Drosophila melanogaster: one gene and its partners. The protein of the gene in region 1 interacts with the protein of each later gene in a pairwise test. Each region holds a gene or a part of one and is shown in the gene's direction. Other genes may lie near its edges.

What was found.
Region 2: the proteins of Sam-S (region 1) and DIP-alpha interact in a two-hybrid assay, tested with the Drosophila melanogaster proteins (one large-scale study listed by BioGRID).
Region 3: the proteins of Sam-S (region 1) and E(var)3-9 interact in a two-hybrid assay, tested with the Drosophila melanogaster proteins (one large-scale study listed by BioGRID).
Region 4: the proteins of Sam-S (region 1) and CG10510 interact in a two-hybrid assay, tested with the Drosophila melanogaster proteins (one large-scale study listed by BioGRID).

Annotation. Positions count from the first base shown.
Region 1 is NT_033779.5:104,468-110,605, forward strand, and holds the start of Sam-S (S-adenosylmethionine synthetase), read left to right. Parts: upstream 1-2,435; 5' UTR 2,436-2,533; intron 2,534-3,293; exon of another isoform or gene 3,294-3,297; 5' UTR 3,298-3,371; exon of another isoform or gene 3,372-3,879; intron 3,880-4,120; 5' UTR 4,121-4,218; coding exon 4,219-4,342; intron 4,343-5,126; exon of another isoform or gene 5,127-5,283; coding exon of another isoform or gene 5,284-5,326; intron 5,327-5,938; coding exon 5,939-6,016; intron 6,017-6,138. Other genes in the region: Nhe1 (Na[+]/H[+] hydrogen exchanger 1), read right to left, coding at 6-480, 538-869, 924-988, 1,045-1,448, 1,502-2,175. UniProt on the Drosophila melanogaster protein: Catalyzes the formation of S-adenosylmethionine from methionine and ATP. The reaction comprises two steps that are both catalyzed by the same enzyme: formation of S-adenosylmethionine (AdoMet) and triphosphate, and subsequent hydrolysis of the triphosphate.
Region 2 is NC_004354.4:3,527,002-3,533,286, reverse strand, and holds the start of DIP-alpha (Dpr-interacting protein alpha), read left to right. Parts: upstream 1-2,621; 5' UTR 2,622-2,866; coding exon 2,867-2,972; intron 2,973-6,285.
Region 3 is NT_033777.3:8,989,512-8,995,576, reverse strand, and holds E(var)3-9 (enhancer of variegation 3-9), read left to right. Parts: upstream 1-2,627; 5' UTR 2,628-2,711; coding exon 2,712-2,900; intron 2,901-2,949; coding exon 2,950-3,787; intron 3,788-3,849; coding exon 3,850-3,897; intron 3,898-3,955; coding exon 3,956-4,647; 3' UTR 4,648-4,932; downstream 4,933-6,065. Other genes in the region: CG31100 (uncharacterized protein), read left to right, coding at 1-247; CG11975 (uncharacterized protein), read right to left, coding at 944-1,050, 1,117-1,878, 1,955-2,041, 2,127-2,193; CG11970 (uncharacterized protein), read right to left, coding at 5,179-5,688, 5,753-6,065.
Region 4 is NT_037436.4:21,207,233-21,213,033, reverse strand, and holds CG10510 (uncharacterized protein), read left to right. Parts: upstream 1-2,949; 5' UTR 2,950-3,039; coding exon 3,040-3,210; intron 3,211-3,360; coding exon 3,361-4,236; intron 4,237-4,291; coding exon 4,292-4,816; 3' UTR 4,817-4,886; downstream 4,887-5,801. Other genes in the region: CG10508 (uncharacterized protein), read right to left, coding at 77-252, 646-807, 876-984, 2,230-2,303; CG10512 (uncharacterized protein), read right to left, coding at 5,440-5,598.

The DNA of each region.
Region 1 (6,138 bases):
AATCCCTACGACCGTGTCAAATGAATTTGACTTGTGCTGGCCGCTAGTCCTATCTCTTCGTCCGATTCATCTGAATCCAATGGACTCACTCGAATGGCTTGGTACCACTTGTTAGTCAGGTCGGCCATCTGTGACTTGCACTCGTGCAATTCCTGACTATTGAACCGACGTGTAAAAAACGGAATAAAGTACTTGCGATCCATGCGCCCAAAACGATCGCGCGCTTGAGTAAAGGTGACGTCCTCTTCCTCGGTGAGTTCAGACAAGTGTTCAGAGTCGATTGCCTGGCCCCATTCGCGAGTTTTCGATAGGGAAATAGATTTTGAACGCTTCCTACCGCTGCCGTTGCGTCGACCTCCCTCCTCAGCGGCATTCCTTCCAGAGCCGCGTGCCCGCCGTTTTTTTCCTGGCTTAAGGTACTTTAGCAGAGGCATTGTGGAGCCCCCCAGCACTAGCGTGGTAAATAGCACAATGATTAATCTGAAATTTTAATTCTTCAATGACTGAGCATTATTTTACAATCCGGAATATGCTTACGTTGTTGTTATGATGACGTGTCGTTTCTCCTGGCTGTCAAGATTCAAGTGCAAAGATAGCGCGTAGGAAATCGCTCCGCGTAGGCCAGAAAACCACATAATGAACTGCATCTTGTTATTGATCTTATGCTCGCGAAATTTGTTGACCAAGAACGCGAGCGGAAAAATATTGCAGGCGCGGCCAATTAAGCAAAGCACAATGGCCCATATAACAAAAGATAGTTCAACTTGGTGTTTAAAAGAAAAGATTGCTAATCCCAGATAAGCAAACACGCAGGTCTCAGCAATGAAAGCTAGTGTCCTCATCGTCTGCTGCATGGTAATTTGGGTAACCTACGATTAAAAAAGTTTTAATAATATATAAAATAGGGATATCATATGACTTACAGTGGATAGGTTGAAATGCGTGTAGTGGGACATGACGATTCCGCAAAATAGTATAGCCATAATACCTATAGTTGAAAAAAATGTTTAGCTTTTAGAGTCATAGTCAACAACATTGATATACCGCTTAAGTGTATTCCCTCTGCCAAGACGTAAGGTGCGTAAGTAAACATTAGCATCATCGCGAACTCGAGGGATGGATGCTTTCGTAAATCGATGTGCTTCAGAAGAAGAGCCGAAATTAGTGCAAATATGACTCCAATGCCCGCCGAAGCAAAGAACATCGCGCAAAAGGTCTTCAACGCGCTGAACATGGCTTCTCCAGTGCTGGCCTCAGCATTGACGTTAGCGGATTGGGTTATGGATGCAGTCAGCACAATAGATATGGCGTCGTTGAGGATGCTTTCGCCGAATACCAACATGTTGAGTATGGGGTCTACGTCAAGAGCATGGAAAATTGCCACTGTTGCCACAGGATCAACAGCAGAGATGAGAGAACCGAAGGCAAAGGATTCCGAAAAGCTTAGGCTAAAATTTAGGATAAATTATTGAATGAAATTGACAATTTATTTTAAACTTGCCGAAATGCCACCTCCCCCAGGCCCAGCAGGTAAATCCCCGCCCCGATGACTAGTGCAGAAATTGTTGTACCGAATATGGCAAAGACCAGTATGGATCCGATGTTCTGAAAGAAGTTTCCCTTGTGCAGATTGTAACCGGACTCGAATATAATGGGCGGCAGGAGCACCAGAAAGAAGCCCATGGGCGAGAAGACCTCTTCACGTTTCCAACTGCCATTCTGCCCAGACATAACGTTCAGCGAAAGGCCAATAAAGGCGCCCAGAAAGACTACCACAATGCTTTCTGGCAGGTACTGGAACCCGGTCTGGAGCATAGAGTGGATAAGCAGGATGCCCAACATGATAACGCAGATGACGAAAAACAGTGAGAGTGAGGAGTTGTGCTCCTGCTCGACAGCATGGGAATCGATTAGAGGCGGATCTGTGACCAATGTGGATGCGTTTCCCCTTTTCGTGGTGCTTGCATTACCAGATGCAGAAATCGAGGGCGTGACATTTCCAAGCGGACTGTTGACGAAGACATCCGAAACGGTGTGGATAGAGCTACTATTATCTGTAGTGGTGGTGTTGCTTGATGTTTTGCTTTGGGGCACCTCCTGTCCACTGATGCTTTCCGGACCCGCGTGCACCAACAGTAAGAGTGCAGCTGCACTATAAGCTACCCAAACCCTCATTTTTGCCGACAAAACGTGACGTGGTCGCTATTAACGCTCGCATTTAACTTTTCACTATTTGTTCAATTTGTTTTTTCACAAACATCTGTTTATCGCCCTATCTGACGTATATCGGGGAGAGTTGCCGTATCATTTTGGCTTATTGGCGCGTGCCTTTCATATATTCAAAAGAAAATTGTGCACTTAATTGCGTGCAGTATATTTTACCATATAATGAATTTATTTAAATAATTGGCTTTTGCCCAGTCATTGTAGCTGATAGCTCTTGTGAAGTGTCTTGAAAATTGAGCATTTTAAGTTTAAATATTTTTGTCTACGTATTGAGAACGTTTCTTACGGCAAAAAGAAAATTATATATGTATTAGAAAAGTGAAATAATAAAAAACCTTGTTATTGGCAAAGTGATAAATTGTTTAGTTAAGGCTATTACAATAACTGACGATAAATCAGTAAAATAAATGCATTGCCACAATCTACAGTTCGCAAGCACCCACCATTTGTGCTCAAGAATAATGTGCCCTGCGCATCTGTTCGTTCAGGCACACGCGATCTTCTTAGGCCCCGTGGGGTCACACCTTATTTGAAAGATAATGGGGCTTGTTGTTTTCGGTTATATTCAGTGGGTATTAGAATTTTAAAAAATGTACATGCAAAAACTGATTACCAGGCTCCTTGATCTTGGCAGACCTTGTTTGTCTTCTTGGCTGTGGCATGACGTAAGCACTTTTTCAAAAGCACAAATTGTTCGAATAGTATGAGAACCCTAATTGACGACTTTCCTTGACAAGATAGTGTCGAACGATCCATCTCCAAAAGGGCAGTCACTCCATGTTAGGGAAAAGCTAGGGTTTCAACAGATACAGACATTCGTTTAAAAATTCGCTTCGAATTGCGCTTCGTGTAGCGATTGTCTATATCATCGAATATGTATATGTCAATTGCTGTACATAAGAGAAGCCGAGAGAGCAATGCTAAACAGATTTTAAAAATTAGGTATATAGGTGGCTGCCGTGGTAGCACATAGTTTTGTTCTGATAAGCTCTTATTTCTTGCCGACTCATCTTCTCAAATGCTGTCTACAAAAATTTATAAATATTATTCGTCTGTAAAAATCATCCGCAGTTGAACGCAGGTTGAGCAGGAAGCTAGTCGAGACTATAATCCATATCTTGTCTGATCCTTTGTTCAAAACCACAGTGAGTATAAAATAAAGGATCTGGATCTAGATTCACTACAGTTCACTCCGGAGCGGGGTGGCAACGCTGGGCGGCGGAACAGCTGCTTAAAACCCAAAAACGTGGAGATACTGAAGAAGTAAAATCATTTGAGAGTACCGAGAACGCTAGGAAAGTTTCCCTAAAGAGCGCCCAAATAAGTCTCAAAATAATAATCGAGTCAGCCGAAGAGAACCGCCTCCTCCGTTTGCGACGATAAGCAAAAGCCCGCTCTCTCGTTGGAGGTATAAATTCTGAATGGCATTAAAAAGTTGCGCTCTTTTTCTTCAGAACCGTCGCTAAGATAGGACGTGTGTTGGCTGCGCCGCTGATTTGGTTGCCGTCGCTGAACCAGTATAACTCAGAATCAGTGTGTATAATTTGTTGAACTAATAGCTAGAACGTCGAACACGCATTTTAAACAGCTAGCAGCACCGAGCCCTCACCTAGCGACTAGTTTAGCTTTGAACCCGCTCAACGTGCGTCTCATGTATGTAGCGACGATTGTGGCAAACGCGCAGCATAAAAACATAAAAGAAGGGCGATTATATAAAAAAAACTATAACGAAAAGTGTGCGAATACCGGAAAATCCCAACAGCCTCGAGGCGGCCTATAGCTTAGATTCGCGAATGCGAAAATAGATGTGTTTTGCAAGAGTTCGGAAAATCAATTTCGTTAAGCGTTTTTTAACAACCGCTAATGTGGCCTCTCTTTCTCTCTGTTCCCCCAGCTCCACCAACAATTTAGCCGACCGGAACTCGGGTTATAGCACTGCTCCCCCATTGCCCCTTCAAACTTCGAGTTACATATTACAAACTACCCATCAACATGCCGCAAAAGACAAACGGACATAGCGCCAACGGATGCAACGGCAGCAATGGCAACTCATATGACATGGAAGACGGAGCTACATTCCTGTTCACTTCCGAGTCCGTTGGCGAGGGTCATCCAGGTGAGTGCTTCATTGCATCTGCGGCGCCTCCTATTGCATCATACCGATAGTGTCAGTGTAAAAAAAGAAACAATCTCAAATGCCCCTTCGGGCGTGGTGAGAGATGTTGCCTGTCAGTTCTCATAACCTGACCAAACTGATTCTCTAGCGTCTGAGGCCCTTCTGTCTGAAGTCCCTTTCCCTGTATACCCAGTTCCACACCTCCACCGTCTACTCACTTCTGCTTACCGCCTGAACTCTAACAAAATGGCGACGAAATTATGTCCATACCTTTGTTGATTTCTACCCAATTTGCACGACTTGAACAGAGGCTGAGAACGGGAAGAAGAGCTAGTAAAACGTGCCTCTGTTGCATCGCCCGGTGACCAAGCCGGAAAGCTGGGACCACGGAGAACAGCTGGCTTCTCTTGAAATCCCCGCACAACAGCGGGCTAAACCTTGTGCTTGGATGGGCAGACGCAATTAATAGACTGGTTCTTTATCGTTTGCGGCTCTCACATATGTATGTATGTGTGTACAGAGAGACTACGTCATGCGCACCATGTGCTTGTGGCTCATGGGAGATGCGAAATTCAAGTATTCTCTACGTTGTTCTACGTTGTCCACGCACTTGTTCATTTGATCGCAGATGGCGATCAAAACAACGGCCAACACAAACATACCTTACATTTTTCTAGACCGCTGTCAAAGCTTATTTTTTTCACCGAAATTGCCAACCACGTGTTTTGCTCGAGCTCGATCTTTTCGCCCCTCCCAGAGTTTGTTTATATCAGCAGTGGCGACCAGTATAGTAGTGTGTTTGACAACAGCTGTTGATAAGCCGAGCGACCTTTTATACTACGCATTGATTACTTTTACTATTCTATACTATTTTATTTTATAATGCTAATTAAGTCGGCTTGGCAAGCTAGCCCTAGACAATCTAGCCCTATACAATCGTGATGATAAGCGCCGAGTGCCATTCAGAAGAATACACCCCAAATGGTTGACATTAATATCGCCTGTCTTTTTGTAATAAATGAGTGACGGACTTGTTAGAATAGATAATTAGACTAGCCGGAAATTGGAAACCCTGAAACCCATTTCAGAGTAGCTACTTTAAACCCTTGACCTAACTAGTTTCCTCGCAATCATTATCCCAGCCGAAATCGATACCATGCGCCATTTCTATGAGTCAACAGTTTTGGTAATTTATGTTGCTATTGCTGACGCATGTTCGAGTTCAATAACGCCTTTACTACGAAAAGTAGCCGAATGTTGACGGACTCCAATTACGCGCCAAGTTTTGAGGCAAGCGCGAGCAACCCGACTGGTATCAGATGAATCCGACTCCCAGGATTTCATGGACGATTCGGCTTCAAATGTCATCATTTTGTGTTTGGACAACACTACGGTCGCCTTATGCTCTTGTTCTGGGAATTGAATTTCGCTGTCAATAGCAGACAGATTAAATGAAACCGCATGGCCCAGCAAATTTTGATCCGTCGCACTGAATAACATTTTGGCCCGTTCCTCCTTCCACTCCCCGACAAAAATGCTTTCCCCTCCTTCTTCGCCCACCTCTGGCTTACCTCTTGCTTACCTTATTTTTTTTAGACAAAATGTGCGACCAAATCAGCGACGCTATCTTGGATGCCCATCTGAAGCAGGATCCAAACGCGAAGGTGGCGTGTGGTAAGTGTTATGAAACCTGGAGTACATGACTGCTCTGACCCAAAATCAGATTTATATTAAATTCGGCCAATGAAGGTGCGCTGACCAACAATAAATAATCTCATTCATAGAATTAATCAAGA
Region 2 (6,285 bases), on another chromosome or scaffold:
GTTTGTTGTCACACACGTACGTACGCGACACATGCAGCTGCTTCCTGCCTTCTTCGGCAAACACCCCCCATTCTCCCGCCCGCAATCGTCCTTGTCTACATGGCCTCCAACTTTCGCCCGCTTTAACACCTAACAACCAAAAAACAAGAACAATTCCTAGCCCACACATTTCTGACTATAAAATACCGTTTAATTTCATTTCACTTCTTACATACCAAGCAATACCATTTCGTTTTCTGTAGTACTTATGTTTCTTGAAAATCTAATCTAAAACAATTATGTGATGTATGATTTTCCACAAAAAAAAAAAACATAGTCGCATCCAAAGTGTATACCCCTCTACAGTCATCTACATCCAGGATATGTCAGGAAATTGTAGTCGCTGCATACTTATTACAGCTCCAGCAGGTGTCTGCCAGACAAGGACGAAAGCGGGGGTGGGATTCAAATTCAAAATTCACACACACCTGGCCCCATCCACGCCCAGAATCGCCTCCTTTGTGCATGGTACTTGGAACACGAGTTTTAGAAACAAAAGTTTTGGTTTTGGTTTCTTCGTTGTCCCAGAAGTTTGTAGAAAAGTGAAGGAAAAAGACTAGGATTAGTTAACCATGTGTGTTGTTGGCGAGGACTTATTTGCGCCACATTGTATAGGTGTTAATAATCTCAAAATTAAATTGGGGACTTTCGAACTGAGATTATAAAAGAAGTCGATCTATTCGGTAAAATCTAATTTGAGAGGAAGAAATAAAAACTTTAGATTGTTAATTAAAACCCATGTTAAACAAGGCACCCTGGCCACTTGCAGTAGTTCATATTTTCGGATGTCAATATCTAAATAATTTGTAGAACTCTTTCGGACAGTTGTAACTAATGGGAATTTGGATCATCCTCAAAGCTTTCTGGTAATTTTAAATTCTCCTATCAAACTTTTTTCCTCGCACTTTCAACGATTTTCTTCGCTATTCTCCGCTTTTCCTGTGGATAATTGCCGAAAAGTTTTCGTCGTGGCATTCAAGGAATCGCACTTTGATTTGTTGCAGCGCATTTCAGCTGATGGCGGAGCAGCTGCAATTCATTTAAGCGGATCGGGTGGTAAAAATTGCGTAATGGCATAATTATGCCTCAGCCCCATTTCTCTACCCCAGACCCATTCATCAGCAAAAGTCTGAGGCGTAATTGAGTTATTTAATGGAAAAGTTGAAGACACTATCCACAATTTAAGATGACTGGCATCCGCTGACATTTAGAATCTAGCGTCTATTGGATAATTAAGCCACTTTGTGATAGCTTTGACAGCCCTGACTTTCGGTCCTGTCACATCGTGGCCAAAGATGTGGTCCCTCCCCCAGCGAATTTGTGACGCCTCTGAGGACCCAAAAAACTGACAGTTAAAGTTCAATTAAATTCCAGTGCAATCTACCTATTTTCCCGACATTGAAATATTGAAAATTATGTCAATTGGGATTTCGATTGGGATTGTGTCGCCTGCTTATCTGACAGAATGCAGAATGCACTTCGAAACTTTTTCCGCCCAACGCTGGCAAAGTTGCTCCTTTCGATGGCCAAATGGAAATGGGGTATTGTTGGGGTGGTTGATCAACCACCGAATGTCAGCTGGAGGCCAGTTCGAAACGGACAACTTATGAGGACCTCCGGGAAAAGTAATTGGCCATGCATATGCGAAACTCAAAATGATTCAAGCGCATTTTGTAGACCAAATTGCATACGTAAATCGATGTGGAATGTGGCTAAGTGGTTGTACCAACAAATTTGGCACAAAAGTCAGGGTTCAATAATGCAAATCAAGTAATTGATCTGCAGCTGAGAATATATCATTTCATTTGTTTCAAATCGTAGGGTTACGTTTTCTGTGACATAAAAGTATTTGGTTAGATATTTTGCATGTCACTATTAGCAATAATATTATTATAAAACTGTATTATCTGCGTGGAAATTATATCGGTTAGCAAAATCGGTAGCCCTTAACCTTTGATGAGGCCCATTGCGATGAGGCTTTCTAAAGAAAGGTGCACATATATAGCACATAGTGCTTGCTGAAATTTTTAGTGGTCTCACTAACTCGACTTGAGTTCTTGGTGAAATGTTGTATCCCAGGGACCTGTCGCAATCTCGAGTTCTTCACAACTGGCGCCCAACGCGCGGACCCTCCTGTCACTCCATTTGGACGCTGTGGTCGCAGGAGATTCAGATTCTGCCAGGCGGTGGCCAAATGCCACCACAGCTTGTAGCAATTGTCGTACCATTTGTCAGACGAATGTGGATGACACTCCTCCTCCGAAGGACACGGCGCCTGCGCCGCCAGGACATCCCCCCGCCGGCATCTAAGAGCTATGCGTTCCACCACGTGCCCGCCATGTGGATCGCATTCGGCACATGGTGGACGGCGTTCGATTCGAACATCCACTTCGACAATTGGCAACGAGGGTTCGTCAGCAGGACATTCGGGACGGCTGTTCGGTTTTACAGTATCCAACGGCTAACGATTACGACAGGACTTCGTGTCGCTTCGTTCGAAGCTCGTGCCATTTCGGTGCCGTCGATTTGTTCGTTTTCGGTCGTCCTCGAGGCCACAGGATGCTTATTCCGGCAGCTGCATCTTCAGTTGATCAACGTCGGCGCTGTCGGCTGGTTGAAAAACAGTCAAACGGAACTCGAAGCTGCACTCTCGGAATACTCGCGTCTTTAAGAAATAATTATTAATATAAAAAAAAAAAAATACTCTAAAGCATATACATTTGGGTGAATATTTTTTTTAACATTTTTTTAGTGCAGTGAAACTGTTTTTTTTTTCTCCGCGTGACGATCGCAAATGTGTTTGTGTTTGTGAAGTTATTGAAACCAAATGCCAGTCTCGGCGAAACGCTTACTTCGGAATTTTCAGTTCACCAGCTGCGATCGGAATGGCAAAATGTTGATTCACCTGCTGCTCATCGTTTCGCTTCTGGAAGGTAAAAGGATCATTAGATCATTAAAAAAATATCGAAAAACGGATTGTACAAAATGTTGAAAACTATTGCGTGTGTTCTTGATTAATACAATATTTCGAATTGAAAATAAAAAAAAACCCAAGGCCGAAAAGAAATTCCTTTACAATTCGAGTAAATTGATTTTTGGTCTGTCATAGTTTCTTCATAAATTCTTCACCTAGAAACTGTTAAAAGTTTCCGACAAACTTATTACCTATAAAGTAAAGTACTACTTAAAAATCGACGCTGATAATAATACTAAAAAGCTGGAAAATGGTCATAAATAAAATATTCTCTTATTCAAAGTTTAATTTGTTTTAGTATGTAATATTTTCAAAGCGGATCGTTTTAATTACCGTCGGTCCGCTCATTTAAAAAGAATTCAGAAATATTCTGCATCAATTAAAAATAAAAATTTATCAACTATACTTCAGTATAAAAATCTGTTAAACTTGTTCAATCAGCTGAAAACTTAATTTTTGGTGCTGCGTAATGCAACCAAAGTATTACATTAAAAAAAAATTCAGATCTGGTCAGTGAGCTGGCTTTTGGCCTGATCCGTTTGAAGAGTGCTTATAGGAGTTATCGGGAGCTTATCAGGTGTTTATCGTAGCCGCATTCTGCCCGAATGCAACCCTGCAATCAGTGTTGTGCAGCGACGGAAACGGAAATCGAACGGACGGACGCAATCCGGCGGGAAAGCGAACGCAAACCGACTTGATAATTGTTTCGCCGTATTGCGGCGCCCTATTGAAACCCCTAAATGATAGGTAGAGCGGGGAAAACAGGCGATTAATAACTGCTGGAGACTGCTTAATGCACTGTCATGGATACCATTCTCCATATTGCATTTTGCCCGCTGCATTGTTGCCATTGCCATTGGGCATTAAAACGTATAAATAACAAACAAATAAATAAATAAACAAAAGACAACGCGCAACATCGAAAACTGAACGCTGACCATTCAATGGCGATTTAATTGACTCACTCATCCACTTACATTTACATTTACATCTGCACTCACATTTTCAGAACTGATCCCACTGATATCAGGATTCGAGCCAAATCTGTTCAACGCGATTACAGTATGTTTCGAAACTATAGAGCGGCTTAAAACACAATGATAGCCGGTAATGATAGTAAATACAATTTTTATTAAGATTTTTAAAATGTTTGTTGAACAAATGTTTGTCTCTTTCATTAAAACTACCTTCAGATGTCGTTTAATTTTAGCGATACACTGTCTGGTCACTGAATCGTGCGCACATATTTCTCGCCTCATTTTAATTGTGCAAAAATTATGTTTTCACCTTGCCCACTTTCCCGCCGTTACTCCCTCCCCCCCCCTTACCACAATATTCCCTGGGCAAATTTTCACCTGGCCGCCGGTGATTGCTGTTCCGATTGTCTGACCATCGTATGATAATTATAAAAAATGAAGTGCCAAATTGTTCACGTCGGCGCGACAATCACAAATACTTTCCTTCCTCGCATTAAATATTTACGGCACGGTCTTTATTGTTTGCGATTCAGTCTAAAAACAGTTGGCCCATTGTTTTATTCCCCAGTCAATGTGGTTAAATCGTATCATTAATTTTGATTCGCTTGGGGCTTTCCGAATGGGCCGAAGTAGATTTTCCAAAATCGGTGGGGCTGTTAACCGAACTAATTCCGAAATCAGCTTTATTATGACTCAATAAAACTTTAATAGACAAGCCAGCACTTATAAGAACAATGCGTGCTAAACTGTTTATTATGGCATATAAATTGAGAACCGAATACTTATGCAGTTCAAAATGCTTGTACCAATACCAAAATGTTTGTACAAAATCGTTTTAAAATATTACAATTCGCTTAATATTAAAGGTTATTTAAAATATGAACCGACCAGCCTTTGGATCAAAATCTATTATTTAACACGTGTCAATGGTGCGAAAATGCCTCGACAAAACCTCAGGAAGTCCAACTAGTAGCAAAACTATTCCCATAATGTTGATAATTATGCATGGACGTGGCCCACGCTTCGTGGGCTCGGTTCGCATAAATACGAAATACATACATACATACATGCATGCAGATGTGCATATTTAAAGCACTTAAATCACGGCAAACAATAATTCCCATGCGACGATAATGCCGCAGATGGAAATGCTGGATGTAGGATGTAAAATGGCAGTTGATAATGATAAACATAAAAGTGAAAATAATTTTCAATTACAGCAACATTAATAACCGATAATAATCCTAAGCAAATATAATGTGCATGTGCGTGTTTGTTACTGTGTGTGCATATCAATGATATGCAAATTAATTGCCAAACACCGACACCCACCGCCCCGCCCCCCAAGGACCACGCCCGCCCACCGGATGTGAAATGTAAGCTAAACCGCAGTATGGCCAAATGGCGGGAGCGAGATAGCGCCATTAATGGCCATTCTGTTGCCGTCCCACGAGTGACTTAATTGATACCAACAGCACCGGCCGTAACCACGATTTTTTGCACGCATGCACGGTGAAATAACAGAAAAAAAAAATATGCTTCTCTCACTTCAATTATTATTTTTGATAATTGCTATTTATAAATATCATTAATTTTTCATTAAATCCGCCTCCAAAATCCTTGAGACTTAAAATTCTTCCAGTTAAAATTGCGTACTTTTAGATTCTTGTGGCACTTGAAAGTGTCATCATTTCACATTATTATGTTTACTGTGTATTATGCACTTCTTTTTTCAAGTTTTAACTCACAACTCCCTTTATCCTGCACTTATCATTTTTTTCTTTTTGTTTTTTTTTTGTCGGCGGTTCTTTGGCTTTTAGCGCCTGCGGTCAGCGAGAAAAGCCGCAGACGGAGTTACTATTTTTTTGTTCGCCGCTTTACTGCGAGAAAAGTTGCCCTATGCCGAAAAATGCACGTAATTTGTAATTAATTTTATGTGACGCCCAAAGAATAAAATTCGAAAATAGGCGAGAAAGAAATTTTTTGGATTGAAGTAACCGAATCGCAAGAGGATGAGAGATGGAATTGAAGGTTTATTAAAGTTTTGTTGATTTGTTGAACAGCAATAACCAAAACAATATTAAATAAATTTTTAAATATTTTGTAATCGAAAACGAAGAGAAGGACCTGTCTTCTCGGACGGAAAACTTTGTCAATTATAGGGCAACCCTTTTCAAAACACAAAAAAAAAATATTGCAGGAAAGTGTGAAACAGAAATCTAGACACAATTAATTGCGCGACATTTGTCAGGGGAAAAAAGGGGAGAAGAAATTTAAATTGAATTTTCGTCGGGG
Region 3 (6,065 bases), on another chromosome or scaffold:
GAAATCCGATGTGAATCTGCTTCGCAAGCAGCCCAGCAACAAGTTACCCATCAAGGATGAGGCACAATTCCCCGGGAATACTATTAATATGCAAGGTAACTTCCAAGTGCCCATCACATCGACGCAGCAGACAAAGATCATCCATTTGCAACAGAGCGATTTTACGCCGCGTTCACAGAACGGAAGAACAGCAGGAGTTGGGTTGTCCAATCCTGCCTTCGAGGAGAGTAACACCACACATTTGTGAGGGGCTGCGAGTGGACTGTGTCATCACCTAAACATTCTTTAAAAGTGCTTAACATTCCAGTGATATTTCTGAGAAATAAACTTAACAATTTAGTTTTATGTATATGACGTGGTTTTTATGTAACATGTTTAATTCGAAATGGGTTTCGTCTATTTTATTTTTAGGTTCAAGTAGTCTTTGTAATGATTCACTACCAACCTCTATCTAAAAACCTTTAAACGTTCGTGGATAACAATAATAGCATTTCTTGCAAAGGTTTACTTATCAGAAAAAACTATGCACTATTACCGACGGCAATGGTAATGAAAATGAGTAATGTCCCTTAAAATTATAAAAAAATGTAGTGCCAACAAAAACGATAAGCTCAAGTTCATTTAAAATTAATAAGTAAATCTTAATTTCTCAGTGGGGAAATAAAACAAAAACCTTTTTCAGCTTTTAAAGTTACAATTGGCGTAACAATGCATAAAATGAAGGCTAAAGTAAAATTAAATGAGCATGTTGGATTATCGGTTTATGTTTCAAATAAAATATAAAATATCCACAATCATGTCTCAAGGTATAACTACATTTATGTGAACTCGACTTTTAACGTATTTTAAAGCATGCTTATAAGTAATATTGTATAACACATTTCCATGGAGATATATAATTGTATAGATGCATCAAAGGCGTTCGCAACAATCGGATTTGTTTCTAGGTCTCATCGTCTTGCAGCTCAAGGAATTGTGTGCAGATGTCTCGACTGCACTCGCCTTTATTGTTAAATAGGAATTTATAATAGTGGCCGTCTGCACAAATGGCTGTATAAGAGAACAAATGTCGATTAAAGAAATCTCAGGGAAGGATCCACTCCATTTCCAACTTACCCACAACCGAATTAGGATCGGCGCCAAAGGCACATACACATCGAGGTCCCTGGGGTATTGAAAACTTGACAAAACTCCACTGGCTCGAGAAATACTTGGGTATTATGGGCAGCGAGGATTCACGGGGCTTGTTGTCCTCCAGGTTGAAGACGTGTATGGTGCCATGATCGGAGGCGACGACCACCATTGTGGACTGGTGGTTAAAGTTGATGCAGAATATGTTGGCGTGGTTGCTTCCGCGCCTCAGCTCTGATACCTTCTTGCCACTTTCCGTATCGAAGATACGGATGAGGGTGCCCTTTTCCCCGGCGGTGGCTAGTCGCGTGCCTTGCAGATTAAGGGCAATACAGCTGATACCAGCCTCGTGGGCGATCACCTCAAGCGGCGCCCGCTCTGTGTTGGCCAGATCAACAATTTGAACGTGGCCAGTTCGACGGCCGGGGAATGCGAGGAGGCTCTTATTGCTGTGCGGGCACAGCACACACAGCCCGTTGGGATTTGAGCTGGTCTCAAAGACGTGCAGCTGCTGTGGTTGCTGAGTGAAGGTGAACACCTTAATCACGCCCTCCAACACGACCACGATGCGATCCCGACGCAGTCGTACCGCCCGCACGGGCTGATTGAAGTCCAGCGATATGGCCGGGGACTTCTTCAGGTCATCCCACACGATCACCTTGTTGGGCGGGTACAGCGGCCGGATGCCGCCTCCAACCAGGGCTAAGTAATTGCAACGAAACAGCATCTCCACATGGCTGAGACCACCTGAATCGGAATTGTAGACAATGGAATTTGTTTTAGGCCGTGGGAGTCTCCCGCACTCTTTTTTTGACAATCATACCCTCTGGAAAGTATTGGCGCTCCTTCTCCTTCAGCGGATCACAGTTGTAGACCCGGAATCCGGTGTCCGTCGCGCACGCGAAGCATCCTGCAACGCAAAAGGCCAGTTATATTATACCGATAAGGTGTATCGTGTATATGTAAATAACACACATCCGCACATATGTACGTACCTTGGTCTTGATTGAAGGCTGCGTAGAGCAGCCCGTTTCCATATGGGTTTTGCTCTGTGAGGTTCATTGCACTCTCCGGGGATGCTGGAAGCCCGGGCTCTGGTGATTTTCAATACAGTTGCTGGGCAGGCAGGAAAACAATTGCTCGGACGGCGGATGATTGTGTTTTTTCGTATAAAAACAATGACACAGTGTTGAGTATCGTCGAAAAGTGGCCGGGCGGTGAATCGATAACTTTCAATGAGGAAAGACGATCCGCTAAATCGGGATATTTTTGGGTTTAAGAACTTCTTGCTATGAGTTTTTGAGTAGTTACGTAACACAAAGAAACATTATAAATAATCTGCAATGCTGTTTTGGATAAGGTTTTTTTTAAAGCTAAAGATCTAGCTATTATCGGTAGTATCTAGATAATTAGATACTGCCAGCATCACTACCACCCACAATCCTTCACTATCGACCGACGGGTATAATTTTGCAACACTGTCCAAGATGCTCCACCTCCAATTTCACAGAATAACAAAAAGGAAAATGGTCGCTTTGTGGAACGGATTCCTGTAAAAATTGAATATATGCTAGCGCACCATGGAGTTCAGTGCGGATCTGAATGGCTTCAATGAGGACTCCATCGAACCCTGCCGGACTTGCGGAATTTACTTTACCATGGGAATGGACATGGACCAGGCGATTGTGAAGCCCATTTTCGGTTCGGATGACGCCGCCGTCGCAGATATGGCGGAGATTCTCGAGCAAATGAATGATTGGAACATAAAGGTTGGTAGTAGTGGAATCGTACTATGTGTACCTAACTTATGTCCCAAAGGTTGCGAGGGAAGACGGACGACCGCAGTACATGTGCATCGCTTGCATTGCCGAGTTTCACCGGCTGATTAAATTCAAGCGCAGCTGTGTGGAGACACAGGAGCAGTTCGGCGAGCTCGAGTACCAGCGCGAACATAATGGCATCGTTATTAAACGGGAAATTGAGCCGGAGGAAGAGAAATTCTGCGGATTTATATATCTGGATACCGACGAGGAGGATAACAGCGACGAGGACGGTAGTAGACGCGTGTGTGCCGTCTTCGACATACCGCATGTGCCCATTAAGGAGGAACACATGGCCCGAGTGCCATTACAGAACAGTGACAAGTTTCAGCCACCCGAACCCAAAAATTTTGCGTCGCCAGTCGACTCCAGATTCGACATGATAGACAACGATGCGTTAACGTCCGGCATGTTAGGACCGTCTATTGAGGATCTCTCCGGGACGGTCGACGATGGCACCGAAGATGAGGAGGAGGAGGAGGAGGAGATAGTCAGATTTACATACGATGATGACAACGATGCGGCAGCCCCGCTTCCGCCCCCGCTTTACTCGCCGGTTGTGTGTTGTAAGCTATGCTTTTACGAATCCCCCGACCAGGATGCGCATATGGAGCACATGCGCCGCACCCATCTCCTCAAGGACTGGGAATGCCATATTTGCGGCAAAAAGTTCACAAATGCCCAAGAATCGCGCATCAAGTTTCACATCAAGTATCACAAGCTACAGCGGCACGTTAAGTGTCCCGTTTGCGGGTTCATCTGCAGCTCCAAGGAGACTCTCAAGGAGCACAAGCAGGCAGTGCACGTACGCACAAAGTGCACATACTGTGGAAAAAGTGAGTTCAATATTCTCACTTATAAAACTAATTTATCGGATTAATCACATTTACCTTTGCAGCTGTGAAAAACGCCACTCTACACGCACATTTGAAAAAGCACTTAGAAGGTCAGTAAGAAGAATTACAACGGTTTTATTTGTTTATAACTTTACACTTAATGCCCAGAGGGTGAAGCCGAACTTGCCCAGCAACTGAAAAAATTGGAGCAGCTTCCAGTTAACCTTCAATCTCAACATTTATCTTCACTGGAAAGCAGTGTCGCCGAAGTCACCACGGCTTCTGAGGGCTCAAATATTCCTGGGGAATCCACTGTTCCTGAAGATTCTAATGTAACCGAAAACTCCAGTGTTCCTTCAATAGAGACTTCCAATCATGCGGACATTCAATGTCCAATGGGCCCACCTGCAAACGGAGAAGTTCCTGATGTAGCAGATGTAGCTTCACCGTCAACCGAGCCAACTGAAAGTGTCACTAAGTGCTCATATTGCAGCGACACATTCGAGAAGGCCCAGCAGCTGCAGGCTCATGTGCTGGCCACTCACACACAGACAAGAAAGAGGCGTCGCTCTTCAGACAACCAGTCATTAGTGAGAAAGACCACGCAGGAAATACCTACGTCGCCCATTGCAAAGATAACCAAGAAGCAAACCATCGAGTCCAAAGAAAGAGTCGTCCTAGAGTCTTCTTCTCAATTAGATAGCACTGCCCAGCAGGAGAGCAGGACTTCAGCGACCTCTAATGACAGCTCTCCTGTCCAACAGGTGCCAGAAAAAGCGTACATCTCGTGCTACATTTGCGGCAGATCCTTTGACTTAAAAATTAAGCTTAACAGACATCTTAAGCAGCATAAGGGTTAGTATCGTTTCTAGCGTATAGCCATTATTCCATATTAATTTCATTTTTCTAAAAATGTAAGAGTATTGTGCATCTTATCATTTTCCACTGGCCTGCCAAATGCAAACGTTGAAATTTGTTATTTAAATTTTCTTATTTTTATATAATTGGTTGGCGAAGTACTTACATTCGAATTTTAATGTTTAATAAAATAGAAACCATTTTGCATTTGCCTTTTATCCATACAGAGTTGGAAAAATGCAAAGCACATTGGTTTTTGTATTGCAAATAAACATGGCCCTTCTGGTTTCATCTGAGTTTTATTGGGTCTGTATATATATATATATATATTATTTTTTATAAACTGTTCCATAAAATTGGTTGCTGGATGGGACATCTTATCGTTGTCCATTATATTTACTTAGTACAAAGCAATATTTGCGATCTTTCTGCTTACATAGATAAATTACAAGTGTTGTTTAAACAAAATCGAAGAAAGTGTAACCGGTAAGGATATTCAACGTGGTTACCAAGCCTCTCCGCTCCTGAGCCTCCTAGTTGCCACTCCCTGTGGCCGTCTTGAGAACCGTAGCCGGTATTAGTTTTGTAGTCAGCGTTTTTGCTCCTGTTTCGCCGGCTGCCGTGGTCACAGAGATTTTTCCTCCTACCGCTGCCCCACTTGCCGATGCTGCAGCCATGGGTATCACTTTTAAGCTGGACAGTGGCTTTAGGTTCATGCCCTGCAGTCCCGGTGAGAAGAAGAGCTGTCCGCCGTTGCCTTGCACGGCGAAAACGAGATTGTTGCTAGGCGTTGCCGTCGCTGTCGCAGCTGGAGATGCTGTCGTGGAGCTGTTTACAACGCTGCTGTTTGCTGTACTAGTGATTTGCTTGTTGGCCACCAGTACGTTCTTGGCCAAGCGCGGTCCTATTAGCAGCGTTTTGGGTGCCGTCGTTATGCCGCTGGTGGAAGTAGTTCCACTATTACTGGTGCTACTGGCTAATCGCAACAGTTGGTTGCCCATAATGACAGTCTGAACGGGTGCGCCGGCACCTCGAGCGGAAATCTGAAAATTTAACATTGAATTTATAAATAATACTATTCGCCTAAAATCTCCCCAAATAACTTACCGCTCCCTGAAGCTTCACTGTCTGACCTCCAATCACAATATTCTGAGTTGTTCGCCCGGCAGCATTAGTCGCTCCCGTTCCCGCAACTACAGTTCCACCTGCTCCACTGCCGCTTCCCACTGCCGCTGATGCAACTGCTGTTGTCGTCGTTGTGGTAGTCTGGGTTGTGGGCACACTACTACCGCCAATCTGTTTTAATGTTTTGGCGTGGAGTAGTAGTGGTTTTCCCGGAAGCACAGTAGTTTTTCCAATAATTTTGGGCACCACAGTCGACGCGTTTCCAGTTGCCGGAGTAGTACTGGTGGCACTCACA
Region 4 (5,801 bases), on another chromosome or scaffold:
TAGATGTAAGTACGCAGATTAGTACGCCAGCTGAGCTGGCACGAGCGCTTAGCTGAAGTCGGGACCAATTTCTTACCGCTTGAGCAGGAGACGTATATGGTTCTCGCCAGCGGTGGGGAACATGTTCTGGATTTTGGTCACCACGGCATCCGTTTCCGCTTGCGTGGTGAACGAGGTCTCCTGAATGGTGGAGCGCCGCGAGAGATTCGGTCCCACGCGAGCTCGTTGAAAGGGCAGAGGTGAAGACATTTCCTGCGGGTTAGGTGGAAAATTAATTAATAAAAAATTCATTCAAACCAATTATCGATACTTAAACGCAAAGTAAGCAAGGGGCTTCGGATACTACTCATGGAATTTCATGTTTGTTAACTTAAAAAACATACAACTATTTCCTGAAGGTCTCAGCCTATTTGAATTATCTATTATTAGCCTCTTACAAGTATCTACAATCAGGATATCTTGTTGTAATCACTATATCAGAAGGTAATTGCGTATTTTTTGTGCGAAAGAACGACCTACTTATGCACATTTTTGATGATGCTCACAGATTTTTCGATGCGCACCCACACGTGATTTGCCTATTGATTGCCAACTATGGCTGTAGTTTCTCTATCAAAATCAATCTTCAGGTCATTTCATACTCACCAAGTGTCCCCTGGAGGAGGCCGACAACAATGGACTGGTAGAGATGTTGTGCAGCGTGGGTTGCTGGCGCTCCTGGAAGGCCCGAATTGCAGTCAAGTTGTTGCTGGGATGGACGTGGTACGGCGAGCTGTTGTGCGACGTCTGCGGCTGACTGACCAACTGCTGAAAAGTACAAGGGTTCCCATTCGAATAAAAAATCAATAAAATGCAGGGTAGGAAGCGGAGGTTACCTGCAAGGCTATCGACTCCGTGGAACAGCGTTCGTTCTGCAACTGCCTGTAACTGCGGCCGCGCGGATCCTCCAGCTGCATGGCCTTCGTCAGATAGTTTATGTAATAGCTGGAACGGGAAGAAGGGCAGCCGAATGGAAGATGAGCTTCTATCAAATCAAAGGTCAGCAAATGACCTCCCACCCAGGGCCATTCGAAAGCTCTTGGATTCAGGCCAAGGGTGGAGGCACATCCTAAAGCCGGCCGGTTGGTGGTGGACTGGATTGGAGTGGATTGGTTTGGGATTCTCCCCACATGTTGATGGTCCCTTGGGAGGACGGACAGGTAAAGGGTGAAGGAACCGCCTAAACCAAGGCACGTGCCAAGTAGCTGCCAAAAGGCGGACGCACAGTCGTCATTTTCATCGTCGTTTGACAGGCCATCTCTGCTCTGATTTTCGGAATGGAGAGGGTGGATGTCGACGAGGACGTCGTGAGGATGGAAAGCTCGTCTTCGGTTGAGTGGCCTCTTGAATTAACGTATGACAACGTATGTTGCTTAATTGCACATGGCTTTTTAAGCATAAGGGGTTAAGTTATATGTATATATGTATGATAGGCTAAGGAGATGTTAAAGACCCCGCTGGCATCCGACGACGCGGAAGTGACACAATTTATGCCGCTGAAACGAGGCCAATTGGAGTGGCTAAGGAGCACTAAGCTAAGTAGCCCATAGGGAACCACATGGTACCCACACGCTGGGTCTTTAGAGTTCAGTAAAATTGTTTTGCGTATCAGTAATAATAATTTAAATTTAAATTAAAACATTTTCTTCAAACATAAAACATTTTGAAAATTTTATGTTAGAAAGTTCTTTCGATTATAAGCTGAAGAAAAGTTAGCCAATATCCAATCCAAGCTTGTACTTCGTTCCATTGTGTGTTAAATGAATAATTTAAATTAGTACCGAGCTTGCGTCCTAAGAGTTTAAATACCAAAGGTGTTTCAAAACTAAGTTCTGCAAGCCACCGAACTAACGAATAATTTCCTTATCACTATAAGGCCAAACATGGCAAACACCACCTCAACCGGACGCCTACCACCCAATCATTTTAAAGTAAGCGACTTACGCCCCCAAGGCCCCCTACATACACCCACAACCACACACCCAACCATAATCCTTCGCCCACCGAAAGAGCCACCCCAAGCGACGTTGGCACGCAAATTTATCAGTTGCCCCCGTGGCAACCTATCAAATGGAACCCCTATATCCCACAACTGGCCACCACATCTCCCAGTACAGTCCGCATTTCACGACATTGTGGTTAATGGATGCATAAATATTTATGACGTCGGGCTGTGCACATGCAACTCACCAATTTCCAGTTGCTTGATCGTATTTGCAGTCCCAGCCGGGCGGCATTTTCTGATAGCCACCGGATTCGCTCATTTTCACCGCTCACGAATAGATACAGATGCAGATACAGTAACAATTGCACTTGCAGATGCGAGGCGCTTCGATGCCCAGTTAAACCGAACGACCGTCGTTTTATTATTTTCGTTTTCTGCCTGAATGTTTATGGACGTTTAAAGTCGCATTCGCAGCTTGTTTGCCGACTGTCTGCAACCCCGAAAAGTTGGCAGGCAGGAGTGCCCTTGCCACTTATCCTGCGCGGAGCTTTGTAGTTGCCTTTGTCGTCGGATGTTTCAGATTTGGGGGTTGTAACCACCCTCGATGGCAACCTCTCCTCGGCAGCAGAGTTATTTTTGTTTACAAGGCACTGCCTGCCGGGAAAAAGGACCGCAACACACAGATACACACGCTCACACACACACAGTTCGATGTGGCGTGCCGTTAGTAAGCAAGCCAGCCAGGCTTTAGCTACCCGGAAAGGAATCGTTTTTGGGGAATCCTGGAGTCGCGACGCTATAAACAACCTCGCGAGCCAAGCTTTGAGAGTCAACTGAGGAAATCAGTGGCGGGCGTTAAAGCTTCAGATGCTGTGCGAATAGTCGTTAAAAAAGCTGGTATCCAGTGTTGGAATTTGCCCGTCGAAAGCTGTGCGCCAAACTTCGATTCAGCTTTCAAACAGGCACACAATTCGAATTTAGCTCCCCCGTCAATTTTCCAAAAATTTCACCTTTGATTTACGCATTTAGTTCAGCTACAACTACACATCGGCAAAATGGCCGAAATCTTGGCACGCTTGACGCGTGTTTCGGAAAACTACCTCCAAGAACTGGAGGAGGAGCCGGAGCCACAAGGACCGCCCAAACTAACCAAGGCTCAGAAGAAGGCCGCCAAGAAAGAGGCCAAGCGACTGGCTATGATCGAGGAGAAGCGGCTCATCATGCGGGTGGGTTCAACTAACTTTCGCAGAGTTTTTATTAAGGATGAACCTAAGCAAATCCTTAATATTATTAATTTTTATAATAAAAATAATATATTAAGACTATATTAAAATTGTAAACGCATCATTTCTAATGTTGCGCCATGATCCTCTCAGGATGCCCTGATGCGCGAGCTGGAGATGGGCAAGCATATGGAGGAGAAAGGCAACGAGGAGTGGCACGAGATGTGCCGCGAAATCAAGATCAAGGAGCTAAACGAGGAGATGAGGGCTTGGGGCGAGCGCTCGGAACGTAACATTCAGGCCAAGAACGACCACATCAAGATGCTTCTGGACGACATGGCGCAGACGCAGGATCAGCACGTGCGTTGCTACAGCAAAACGGTGGAGCTGATTGATCACATTCGCGACTGCTTCCACGTGATGTTGGGCGGGGTGAAGAGCATGTATGACCAGCAGGCTGACGAGATGCTGAGGGATTACTATGAAGAGGTGCGCCGGCGCACCGAAGAGGTGGAAGCCATGAAAACGAACTCCGAGAACATAATCCATGCCACCAACATCACCACCCGGGATCAGCTGAAGGAGGATTACACTATCTACCTGGAGCAGCGCGACGATCGCGTGAATACGGAGATTGAGAACAGATTTAAGATTCGAGATCAGATTGTCCGCCGGATGACGCACATGCAGCAGCAACTGAACGACTTCGTGGAGTCGCTGAGGAGCACCGAACTGGATGCCCACAAGTACGAGAAGATCCACTGGCTGACGGAGCGGCAGGCGGCTTTCATGGAGGAGTCACGCAAGCTAAACGCCGAGGAGTCCAAGTACATCAACATGCAGGCGGAACTGCAGCGCGAAATGGTTCGCATGGATGCGGAGAACAACTCCACGCTCAACGATCTTCGCCTGGAGTTCCAGTACTTCACCAACGTGCGCAAGAAGATTGAGCTCAACCAGGAGATGGATCGCGAGATCACGCACGAGAAGTTGCGCATCCTGACCGGCGAGTGCTACGAGTTGACCAAGGTGAACCTTTGTCCCAAGCCCTATTACCCATTTCTAAATTGAAATATTATTCCAGCAAATGGAGAAGCACGTGAAAAGTGGGGAATTACTCTTGGCCCTGTCGATCACTTGCAGGAAACTGCAAACCGAATCGGAAAAGGTAATCCTCGGCGGCGAGGTATTCGACGAAACCGAGGTGGATGTCGATGAATACTTCAAGCTGCAGACTCTCAACCTGAAAGATCACGTGGACATGACCGAGGAGGAACTCGTGGAGCTAAACAAAAGTCTCAGGAACTTCTGGCGCCGCCAGGCGATGGCCGAAGCTCAAAACCTGCTGATGCTGGAGGAGAAGCGTCGCCTCACTGAGGACAATCAGCGCCTGATCGACTTTATCAAATCCATGAGTGTCACCGAGGATCCGGAAGAGCTGCGAACCGCCATGCATGTTTCATCGCCAACTCAACCCATGCCACCCAAACTTTTCGAGACAAAGTGCCAGGAATTCAAGTCCAGAAAGGTCGTGCATTCACCGACGGCACACAAGGAGGCCAAGTGGGAGGCCGAAGCCACTTTGAATGAGGTGATTCTGGACTTTTGAAAATATGTGGCATTCAAAGTTATGTTTAAATATAAAAATGAGCTCAATTAAATTGAATAATAGTTAAATTAATATATTTACCTTGTTTGCAATCGCAAGAAAAAATGCTATAAAGACAAATATTTGATTATCGAAGAGTATATTGTTTATTTTAATAGTTTTGAAATTGCTGAACACAGCATGGGTATCTCAAAGTGCCAAAATCAATATATTTTAAAACAGATAGTTTTTGTTTTAAACAGAAATTTAGCTGTACTTCTACTTATGTATATTATTTTGCAAACTGCAAGTCTTTACTCTACTAAATATTGCTAATTCCCTAAAAGAATGCCGAAGCTCATGTTTTTAGTTAATAAGAAAGCTTGCGTAGTTAAAAACTAAATAATAGGAGCAACGACAGACTCTTAGGAGACTAGAAATATGTTTTAAGTGCAACATGGAGATATGTAACTAGCTTTAGTTCAGCACCAGTGCAATCTAATCTAACTGTTGCAAATATCAATATTTCTCTCAGTGTAAAGTGTTACTGTAGTGCTTTGGTCCATCAAAATGCAGAGGCGTCTTCAACATATGGCAATGGGTATGCTTGACTCCCTAGTGTAAGTCCACCAGTTCTTTCGAGTTTAAACAAAGCTCAGGGGCTTAATCTTCAGTATTTCCGCCAGGTTGGCGCACGTCTTCAACTGATTCTCCAGATACTGTATACCGCCGGCGGCATCGACGTCAGCCATTCCCTTCTTCTCCTTGTCTCCAGCCAGCAAAACGGGCTTGCTGGGATCGGTCTGAAAATGTAAGTATTTCAATTGAAAATAAATTTTGTAAACATTTTTGCAAACTTTATATAGAAGAAATCCTAAAAAAAAACTTATTCAAATGTATACAAAAATGCTTATCGTAATAATTTTCCAGAAAATTTAATATTTTTTTTATTTGTTTTGAATACATTTGAAGATATTAAGATTATGGCGACGAGAGTGCCAGTATC